Caenorhabditis elegans: one gene and its partner. The protein of the gene in region 1 purifies or fractionates together with the protein of each later gene. This does not show direct contact. Each region holds a gene or a part of one and is shown on either strand. Other genes may lie near its edges.

Region 1 (5,003 bases):
TGTTTTATTAAATTAATACGAATTTTATTATTGGAAGAAAACTACTCCCCACATAATTTTTACATCTAATAAAATTTTAAAATAATCTTTAACTACCCAATAAAACACCAACAGAAATTTTATTACGACAGTTTTCTTCCAGACTTGTCTTAATTTAGACTAACAAAAAGTTTTCAGAGTTTTGTTTTGAAGTCCGATAACTTTTAGTTACTTTGAGAATAGATTCTTCAATCTTTGCTCATATATTTCAGAAATAATACCCTGATGGTAACCAAGTGATCACATTGACCGGACACTACGATTTCGAAACAAAGCATGATAAGCAGCTAGCTTTCTTGTCTTCTTGTATAACCTGATATATTCATTTCTCGAATCATTCTTCTCTTTTTTCTTCTATTGTTAACCTTTTGTCTACGTCTCATCATCTCTACATATTTTCATTGTTCTCTATTGGATCTCTTTCTAAAAAGTGTCCAAAAAAACTGACTTGGCGGTCACTTTTTGGCGCAAGTACCTGTTTGGTCTCAGTTGTTGTGAAAGTACTTTACAAAATCATTTCAAAATTAAAATTGATCTTCACTTATGCGAGTTTACCTTAAAACTTTTGGAATCATTTCTAAATACACTAGAAAATTTGTTGTGAACATGCAAAAAACCATGAAAAAGGAGGAGTCTATTTGGACGTTTACCTAACTATAAGTTCCGTCATTTTTTATTTTCTTATCAGTGCTCGTTGCTTTTAAGAACTTATATAAAGGTAATACCGTTGAAAAACATCTGCACAATCTTCTCGATTATGTAATTTTCTAAAAAATAAACACCGTTCATATCTTGGTCTTTTCATGTTTTGAAATGTTTTTTGATCTAAGTTTATTTATTTAATTGTTTTAAGATGGATTTAAAATTGACAAATTACATTTCCGGCATTATTCTGCTTCAAACTGTCTTCCACAACAAAAATTACAAAAATTTCATTAACGAAGTTTCATAATTTTTCTCAGAGAATGTTTCTTCTGAAAAGAGCATGCTTACTTTCTTTCAACTTACTTTCAAGGTTCAGTGATCATGCCAATTAATTCAATTTAATTAATTTAAACGATCACTTCAATTAGCTATCCATTATCTTTTTCTTATCTTCCGCACTTTTAACAGAAAAAGTCTAAAAGAAGTCTCTCTCTATCTCACCTGTTTCTCATCAGTTGTTGTTTCATTCAATGTCCATTCCACGGGGAAAACATTAAGTTCTTGTGGTTTTCAAGGTTAGATATTTTTGCTTGAGGATTGTCAAGCTATTTACTCGATAATATGGAATTTTACGTTTTGTATTTAGCCGTTCAGTTATGACCTTTGAAAAGACGGTCTACCTAATGCCAAATAATATTTAGAACTATTAAAAGTGGAGTGCAGGCTTGAACCCCTAGAATGTCTAAATACAAATAATTACAACACAACACAATAGTAGGGGACATATGTTTTTAACCCCATTTTCAGTATTAATTATGCCTCGCCATTTTTTAAACACAAGATTTTCAAAAAAAAAATTAAAATTATTTGGTCATTATGAATGCTTTCAATAATTTCTCCCACTGGCGACACTCCGCCTATTAGAGTGAAATTCGCTAATACTTTTTCCAATCACTGTTTGCAATTCTCCATCGAATTCTTGAAAATCGTCACGGTCTAAAAATGAAGTTTTTTCTATTCAATTCTCCCTTATTCGTGTCACTGTATTCGTTCAACTTTTGTTCAAAAAACGAACACATTTCATTTAAAGATGGCAGTTGTTGCGTCGACATCAGATGATTTCTATGCAAACTACGCATTCGAATCGGCAGATCGAAAAGATGAAAACTCAATTCGGGTAAGTGAATCTTTGAAGAAAGGTCTCATGAATTGAGGGATAAGAAATATAATTATAGGTACCTCGAAGTACAGAAGACAACCGTAGGCTCAAGTATGGACATGCAGAAGATGATAATTCAGATATTGCGTATTTGAATTTTCCAGTTATTGTACCATCACTTGTATTTACAGTTATCTCAATGGGATGTTTTGTGGGTAAGATATTATAAATAAGAATCTCTGAGAAATTTCGTTTAGAACTTTAGGTTATACCTAACAAAAGAAACTAAATCTACGAAAAATGCGAAGCAAACAATAGCTTGGGTTACTGTACCCCTTATAGGCACACACTCTTTTCGCAGGCTTAAATGAAAAGGTTTTGATCGTATCGAAACCGAATAACGTACTTTTGCAGTTTAACCATGGGAATAATTGCACAGAGAATTTGCAAAACTACAATATAAATCTTTAAAATCTTCGAGTTTTGTTGAAATATTTACATGCAACAACTTTTTGAAAAAGAAACAAAAAGACAAAATGCTAGCTGTTTATTTTCAGGAGGAATTTTCACATCCCTAAAATCCGACTACATCCCTGATGAACGAGAATTAATACGAGGATACGTTATAGAATATGGCAGCAGTCGTTTTCGATGTAACGTGAGTCTCCCCTTTCCCCCTACTTTGACTCTCACCCCTTCAACACCCGTGACAAGTGTACGCTCTCGACCGCTGTTACTCTCGAAGCACGGATGGCCGAGTGGTCTAAGGCGCCAGACTCAAGCGTACATTGCTTGCCTCAAGTTCGAGGTTAACTGGGTGTTCTGGTACTCGTATGGGTGCGTGGGTTCGAATCCCACTTCGTGCAGATATTTTTGAAAATTTTCAATTAATTGTTTTCAGACAACAATTCCATTTCCAGCAGATGGGCTTCCATCAATTCTTAATCTTTTTGAATTGAACGTGATAGGAAATGTCCTTTTCCGATATGCAGTCTGTATACCAATAGTAATTAGAGTATTCAATGCACTTACAATAAGGTAATTGGAAAATTAAAGTATTTTTCAAACTCAACGCCTTTTTCAGAAATCTTCTCCGTCATGAGTACGACAAAAAGTTCTCATCATTACATAAGGTTATGGCGGATTCAATGCCAATTTTCACTTTTGTTGAAGCTTTCATGATGTCCCTATTCAGTATTGTTACTGTACATGAGGATTTTCCAGGTAAAATCTGATGCTAAAAAATCCATTTTGTAGTAAATGTTCTATCAGAATAACGATGTTTTTTAAAGGAAATAAAACTTTTTTGAATCGAGAAAAATTAGCAAATAATGGTACTGTATTTGAAAAGTTCCACTCGTTACAGGACCCTTAACCTAAATATCGTTTAATTTCAGAAGCGAATCGTTTCTTTAAAATTGTATTTGCAATGTCATCCGTTGTTAGTATGCTGACCACCACTACGGTTATGTTTGCATTTTCGTCGAATTCTGAAAGTGTGAGTTTTTGATTACAAGACAATTTTCATTTTTATTTGGCATTTGGAAGTCAGAAATCTGATTCAAAAATTTAAAAGGATTACAAAAGGAAAGCTAAATTTTGACGTTTTAATTTGAAATTCACATTTTATCATCCACAAAAACAAAAATAAAGGTCTCACCACGAAATTTTTTCGCATCGTATCCGTACAAAAGTTATGCGTCTCTAAGTACTACAGTAATAAATACACTTTATGACGTCACAAATGTATTAAATTACATGTTTTGGTGGCTTGAATAAAATCTCCAATCTACACTACACTATATACTAAATACACTAATAATCTACACTTTTTTAAACTTTCGAACACTACTAAAATAACCCCATAAAAATTAATATTAATTCAAACTTTCAAATTAAATTTTTCAGAAATGGGATACTGTATCAATGATCATGAAATTAATATCAGTTGTTATTTATGTATATTTAATGCCACAATATATGCAATATCATCAATCTTCTATCACATTTCCAATTTGTCATTCATATAGTAAGTTTTCTTTCTGTCTTATTTTTAATTGAATCAAATTAATTTCAGTGCCCCAACTGTTCGCTTTAATGGAATATTTCATTATTATTGCATATGCAACGTTTCATCTGTCATTCCTAATCGATATTAGAAACATTTCATTCATTTGTTTCCCACGATCGTCCAGTGGAGAGTGTGAACCGATTGATCCAATTAATTTCAAAAAAGGAGCAAAATATGAACACTGCAGAGCTTTTGAATATAATCAACGAAGGATTCTTAGCTTGTAGATTGATGAATTAGTTACAATTATGTTTATTTAATTTTGAATACAGTTTTTTGTTGAATGAGAAAAAAAGAAACAAAAGAATCACCGATTAAACAACCAAATATTTAAAAATAATTTCACAAAAAGCAATTGAAACAGTCAAGACAAAAAAGAATTGAATGAAATCACGCAAACACATATGATATTCAAGAGAAGGAGAGACAGTTGGAGAAACAAGAAAATTGATACTCGTAACTATTTACACGTGCCACTCAACCCAATTGAGAATGGAACACAAATAATACGGTACTTTGTACGCTACAGTAACCCTAGTTTAATGTAAATTATTGAAGGGTATTTGTTAAAAAGGGAAAGCATTGAAGGGAGGAATTTAAATGGATTAAGTGAAAGAAAGAGATTAAGTAAAGAAATAGGAGCAATGAAATGGTATAAGGAAATTTGAATATTGAGGTAGGAAACATCTATTCATCATCCGATAAGTCTTCATAAACAAGATTTTTGCATGGTGGACCGTAATCTTTGATTGGTTGAATCCCGTTTTGAGCTTGAACAACTAAGGGATATTTGACTGGAATCTTCTTGGTAACTGCCACGTGACCGGTTGCCCGTAAATCGATAACTGATCGGAAAGCTGTTTTATCTGGAAAAATTATGATATTTTTTTTGACAAAATTCGTGGGAATAAAAGCTTACCGCCTGGAAGAGGAGGCAATCTGTTGGCTGGCAACTTCTCAGGATTTCGAACATCGTCATCATCTGAAGACACATCTGACACATTTGAGTTGACTGATGATGGTTTACCAGGAATAATAGGCATAACAGGATGATGTACAGCTTGTGGAGTCGGAGGTGCTGTCTGTACA
Region 2 (6,231 bases), on another chromosome or scaffold:
CTGTTTTATGCTTTATGAATACTATTCAAAATATTCAACAGGTGCTCAGAAAAAAGGAAAATCCTCTCCCGCGCATTTATGTCTTTAATTTCAGCTTCGTGAATTTCTAACCGTCTACAACACTCTCAGCGAACGTTGTTTCAACGCCTGCGCTCGTGACTACACCACATCAACACTCACAAAGGACGAAGGGTCCTGTGTCAGTCAATGTAAGATTTATTGTATTGTATAAACACGATTTTGTAATCAAAATTTCAGGTATTGACAAGCAGATGCTAGTGAACCGTCGGTTTATGCTAGTATTCGCAGAACAAGCACCAAAAGCACTTTTCAAGCAAGGAGAGCAATCGCCAACCGAAGCAATCAAATCCGCTAAGCCAGAGCCAGCGGTCCCAGCTCCAGAAGCCACTCCTGTTGAAACTACTCCAGTTATTGAAGAAAATAAGTGAGATTTTCCATAATTTCTTTTAAAAAATCACGAATAATCTTTTGCAGACAATGAACATCATCTCTGAACATGGTTTCCGTATTGACGGCCGCCGTCCCGCTCAGATTCGTAACATTAACACTCGTCTTGGCTTGAACAGAAATGCGGAGGGAAGCTGTTATCTGGAACATGGTAATACCAAGGTTGGTTTTTTTTTAAGTTTTGAATTTAATTTCAAGTTACATTATTCTCTTTTCAGGTTCTTTGTGCAGTTTATGGTCCGTATGAAGGCAAATCGTCAAAAAGAATCGAAGATAAATGTGCCATTGTTTGTCAGTATAGTGCAACAAAGTTTTCGGGACTTGAAAGAAAAAATCGTACACGTGGAGATCGAAAATCAACTGAAATCAGCAGACTTCTTGAGAAAGCATTCGAATCAGTTATTCTGACGGAAGCATTTCCTCGATCACAACTTGATATTTTCTGTGAAGTAATCCAAGGAGACGGCTCCAACCTGGCCGCCTGTGTCAATGCAACTTCTTTGGCTCTTGCTGATGCAGGAATCCCAATGAAAGGCATCGCATCTGCAGCGACGTGTGGTGTTGTCGATGGAAAACCAATTGTTGATCTTACTTCTAGAGAAGAAACTGATCTCCTTCCCAGAGTTACTGTATGTTTAGGCTGAAAAATTGTCTAATTTAATGAATTTTGTAATGAGACTTCTCAAAAATTGCCGTAATTTCAATATTCCGGGAACCGAAATCATATTTTGGTTGCTATTCTAAAAAAAAAAATGTCCAAAATTTTAAGTTATTTTCCGAAAAATCGGGAAAAAACACAAACTTTCGATTTTTCGTTAAAAAATAATTGCTTAAAATTTTCAGCTCGCCACAATCTGCGGTCGTGACGAAGTGATTCTCGTGGAACTTCAAAATCGTCTTCACATTGATCATCTTTCCACAGTCATGGATGCAGCGAAAGCCACGTGTGCTGACGTGTACGAATGTCTCGCAGTAGTTGCTCAGCAACATCTGAAAGCTTGTGCTCCGATTCTAGGCAATTAGCTGTTCTTTTTTTCTTATTCATTGTTGTTTTGAGTTGTTATTCCTTTTTTTTTAAACCCATTTTTTGCAGTCGATAAATCAGTTTTTTCAAATTTAATCTTAGAAATTTTGTAAAATTTTATATGTTTCCGTCTCATTTTCGTACTTTTCTTGTTCAAATCTTGATATTTTTTTAAAAAAATTGCAAATATCTAGAATGTGGAGCCGTGGATTACCCACGCTTTGCAGGACGATTCCGTGTCGTCAGTTTTCCGTCGCAGCTCAAAGTGGAGCTGGTCCTGCAGAAATTGATGGTAGGTGCAGATTTTTTTTGCTCTAAATGGCCAGAATTTTATTAAAATTGTCAAAAAAATTTCAAAAAATAGCTAATTTCCGCTAGAATCTCCAACTTGACCAACTTTAGAGCGGCCGGAAAATAATTTTAATTCGATTATTGTGCTACTTTGGTTTATTTTACGTTATTTCGTAAATTTAGGGTAATTTTAAGCAAATTTGGCTTTAAATGTACCAATTTTTACGAAAAAACATGTGATAAATGACCAAAATAAGACAAAAATTTAATAAAAGGGAAATTTGGCAAAATATTTGAAAAATTTTGCGAAATGTGAGATTTTAGCTAAAATCAAGTGTTTTTCGACATTTTTGAAGTTTCGCAATAAGCTTTTCGGGTTATTTTTAGTAAAAAAAAGTAGAATAATGCAAAAAACATCAAAAAATATTTGAATTCCAGATTTCCTCCATTCCATCGCCGCTGCTCCAACACAGAAGCTCGTGAAAAACAGAACTGTATTAGAAACTTCGACGGAATTTTTCAAGGTACTCAATAAGCTTAAGCTCCATTTAAATTGTTCAATTATTTAAGTGGCTCGAACAAAATCCCATAAAATCGATTGATCAATTCATCACAGCTGCACAAATGGCTATCACTGTGAAATCAACGGAACAAAATAAGGCGTTTTCGAAAATTGATGATATTGCGAAGAAAGTTCTGCCGAAATTCTATGAAAATTTTGGACCGAAGGAGACAGTGGATGCATTGCGATTTGTTTTGCAGCTGAATTCAAAGGGAAAAGTCTCGACGGATATTCAGAATTTGTTCCTTGAAAAAAGTATGATTTATCCAACAAAACTACTTATTTGAATATGATAATTCTACTTTTTTGATCTAAAATTGATTTTAAAAAATGTAGAAAAAGATTCGCTCCATCTGAAAATAATTTTTAGTTTTGTTGAAAATGAAAAATTGGAAATTTTGTTAGTTTTTTGATAATATAATGTTTAATTGACTTAAAAACACATTTTCATTTAAAAAAAATTCGGCAAAAATCGACGAAAATTAAGGAAACTCGTTGAAAACAGAAATCAGCATCTGATAAAGATTAAAATTCTCGTAAATCGACACATGGCTCGTCTCTGGCGCGAAAATTCGGCGTTTGAAAAATCTCATTTGGACGCAAGTGAAAGGAGAAAATTTGGAGTGATTCAAAAATATTTTTCTCAGATTTCGGTGCTCAACCTAAAGGTAGAGGTGAGGCCTAGTGGCCTTATTTAAATTTTTCAACAAAAAAAATTATTAATAATATTTTATCAGATGGAACGAATCCTTTTCATCAATTTTAGAAAAAAAAAAGTTGATTTTCAGTAGTATTGTGCGTTTTCCTAAACATTTTCCGAAAGATATTTCAAATAAAACGTAAAATTTCAGAAATAAGTCAATCCGATCTACAAACTGTTCCATTTGACACACTTGTGATGATCATTCGATATTCAAAATCTTCAATCGATCAAAATGTTATCGAATCTATTGCGACTTCATTGATTTCTAGAATCGAAAAGTAATTAAATAATTTAGATTTAAAAGCTCTATTTAATATCTAATTTTCCAGAGAACTGGCAAATCCTGCAGATCTCCTAGCAATTCTCGCCGGTGATGGATACGAAAAATCAAAATGGTTTCACAACGAAGCGTTCCTCAAAAAAGCCGAACGACTTGTAGCAGTAATGGGAATGGCTGAAAAATGTGCTCTTTTGAAGCATATGGCAGTGAATAAGCAAAGAAATCGACAGCTACTTGGAGCAATAATCAACGCGATTTCCAGTTCCAGTCAAGTTCTTACAGTATCACAAATTGTCAGTGTCACCGGCTCATGTTCTGCTCTCACCTATTATCCACCAAAAATTGCACGGAAAATCTCCAACGACCTCGAGAAAAATTCGAATGTTCTTGCTCAATGGGATGATGTGCTCAGCATTGCCGATTCATTTATTCGTATGAGAATGGGTGATCAAAAGTCATGGAATCTTCTTGTTCGATGGGCAATTGAAAATGTGAAGCAAGCACATCCGGCTCGATTGAGCAAATTTGTCTCCGGGCTCGCTAGAATTGGAGAACCATCTGGAAAACCGTTGGCAAAAGCGCTCAAACCATTTTTGGTGAAGGAAAAAGCTTCGACGCCCAACAATTGGCTGAATATCGTCTTTTCTCTTGCATATTTTCAAGAACTTGAAGCAGTTCATGCGGATTCGGTGCTCAATAAGAGTTTTGTAGATCAAATCATGAATTCAACAATGTAAGAAATTATTTGGAAATTGAAGAGGTGCAAACGCGCTCCAAATTAAAACACTCCGCAACTAAACGTTGGGTCTCGTTAGGTTTTCGGTTTTCCGATTTTTCCGAAAATTCAAAAATCAAAAATTTAGTTTTGCGACATTCCTAAACAAATTCGATTTTTTCGAAAATTGCTTAAAAATTTAGGATTTTTTTTTGAAGACAATGATTTTGATTTTTTTTCAAAATGAGCAAACAAATAAATTTTTATTATTAATTTTCGAAACATTTTCTAAAGATTTTTCGAAAACTCCGGAAAATCGATATGAATTTTATCTCAATTTCGACATTAAAATTATTAGAAAAAAAGTTTTTAAAAATTTTTTAAGTTAAAAGAAAAATATTTTTAAAAATCACAATATAAATTTAAAATGCTGGGAAACACGAAAAAAATGCCAATTTTTTTTTGCTTTTTCGGTTTTTGCTAGGGAAAACTAAAAATAGTCGATTTTGCAGAAACTCGAAAAAAATGCTGAAAATTTACCAAAAAATTCAAATTTTGTTTATGATGATGAAAAAACAACATATAATTTTTCCAAAAAAAGGCCAAAATGTGGTTTTTTTTCTCCAATTTTAGTTTTAAAAGTTGAAAAACTGACTTCCTTATTGTCAATACCTAACGAGACCCAAGGTTTAAGGGCGGAGTGTTTTCAAAAGGCATTTTTCTGCATCCCCATTTATAATATCAAAAATTGTCAATAATTTCCCAATTTTTCAGGGAAATTCACGATCGACTCCGAAAAGCGATGACTCTTCTAATGATCAGTTCAGCGGCTAAAGTTGATATGCAGGGAAAATACGAAGGACCAACAGTGAATAAGGAAACATTTGCTCGATTTGGAATCAATTTCGACGCGAAAACGATTCGGAACGCGAGGCAACTGAAATATTCGAGCAATCATTCAGAATGCGATCGATATTTTTTAAAGTCATTATTCAAACTTGCTCCACAAGATACTCATTGTCAACTTCCGAATGTTGAAGATTGTGGAGCTTTTGTCGATGCCTATGTTATGCCAGATCCGGTATATTATTTTCAATTAAAAAATATTTTTGAAAAAAAATGTTTTTTTTTTCAGAATTCCAACTTGCTAGTGAACACATCACAATGGGGCTCGAAAAAACCCAGGCCTCTATTTTTCTACGGATGGTTGCAAACTAAACAGGTAAGCATTTTCGAATCTCATAAAATCATATAAAATTCTAAATTTCAGAACACAGAAACGAGCGGCGAAATCAATACAGTTGGGCAAGAACAATTGGGACTTCGACTGATGCGTTCCGCTGGCTTCGATCCAGTAGTCGTCTTCAAAACGGAACTCGACTATTGCTCCACAGAAATTGATCAAGTGAATCTGCTACGGGATAAAATACATAAGAAGAATTAATTTTTTTGATAAAAGATTATATTTCTAGCGCCCCTAGTCTTTATTGTTTTGTTGTTATTCATTTTTATTCAATATTTTTTAGATTTGAGATTATAATAAAACAAATTTATAAAGGTTTCGATGAAATTTTAGAATTTTCTGTGAACTGTCTTTTGAACAGAATATGAATATTTTTGCGGGAATTTATTGTTTATTGATCAAATTTTATTTGTCTTTCCTGTTGGTTTTTTCTTCTATTTTTTCTTTTCTCTTGGGTGGCAATTTTCAGGTTTCAATTACAAATTTAAATAGTCTTATATTTAAGATCTTATCACGTGGTGTCAGAGTGTCTCATTTCGGTTTGATCTACATTGATCTACAAAAAATGCGGGAAAAGAGACGCAGAGTTCTCAACTTATTTTGGATGGTTAAGAACGTGCTGACGTCACTTTTTTTTCTGGCAAAAAATTCCCGCATTTTTTGTAGATCAAACCGTGATGGGACAGCCTGGCGTGATTATACGTGATTATATTTATACTTTTTTTTGTGACAATTTGATCTTGACCTCTGGAGGTCTCTACAAACGGTTTTGTCCACTTTCTAAAAGAAAAAACCGGGGAAAAACTAAAATTAAAAATTCACGCGCGTGACCCAATTTCGAGTGACATTCCGGCCCTGATCATTTCTTCTCTGATCATCTTTCTAAAATTCATTAAATTCATTAGTTTCTACATTTTAGTTCCTGAAAACTTGCTTCATTTCTTT

Evidence for each region.
Region 2: the proteins of C14B9.3 (region 1) and fask-1 fractionate together in Caenorhabditis elegans (co-fractionation; one large-scale study listed by BioGRID). This does not show direct contact.

Annotation. Positions count from the first base shown.
Region 1 is NC_003281.10:8,107,016-8,112,018, forward strand, and holds C14B9.3 (uncharacterized protein), read left to right. Parts: upstream 1-1,774; coding exon 1,775-1,861; intron 1,862-1,919; coding exon 1,920-2,058; intron 2,059-2,400; coding exon 2,401-2,501; intron 2,502-2,576; exon of another isoform or gene 2,577-2,719; intron 2,720-2,744; coding exon 2,745-2,881; intron 2,882-2,927; coding exon 2,928-3,067; intron 3,068-3,240; coding exon 3,241-3,341; intron 3,342-3,751; coding exon 3,752-3,872; intron 3,873-3,920; coding exon 3,921-4,141; 3' UTR 4,142-4,198; downstream 4,199-5,003. Other genes in the region: gei-8 (Nuclear receptor corepressor 1), read right to left, coding at 4,602-4,780, 4,834-5,003.
Region 2 is NC_003282.8:13,099,029-13,105,259, forward strand, and holds fask-1 (RAP domain-containing protein), read left to right. Parts: upstream 1-1,686; 5' UTR 1,687-1,687; coding exon 1,688-1,784; intron 1,785-2,221; coding exon 2,222-2,307; intron 2,308-2,353; coding exon 2,354-2,600; intron 2,601-3,196; coding exon 3,197-3,326; intron 3,327-3,377; coding exon 3,378-4,061; intron 4,062-4,817; coding exon 4,818-5,124; intron 5,125-5,178; coding exon 5,179-5,265; intron 5,266-5,313; coding exon 5,314-5,487; 3' UTR 5,488-5,599; downstream 5,600-6,231. Other genes in the region: tin-9.2 (Mitochondrial import inner membrane translocase subunit Tim10B), read left to right, coding at 15-41, 95-209, 259-445, 496-502; exos-4.1 (Putative exosome complex component RRP41), read left to right, coding at 499-630, 687-1,097, 1,312-1,491.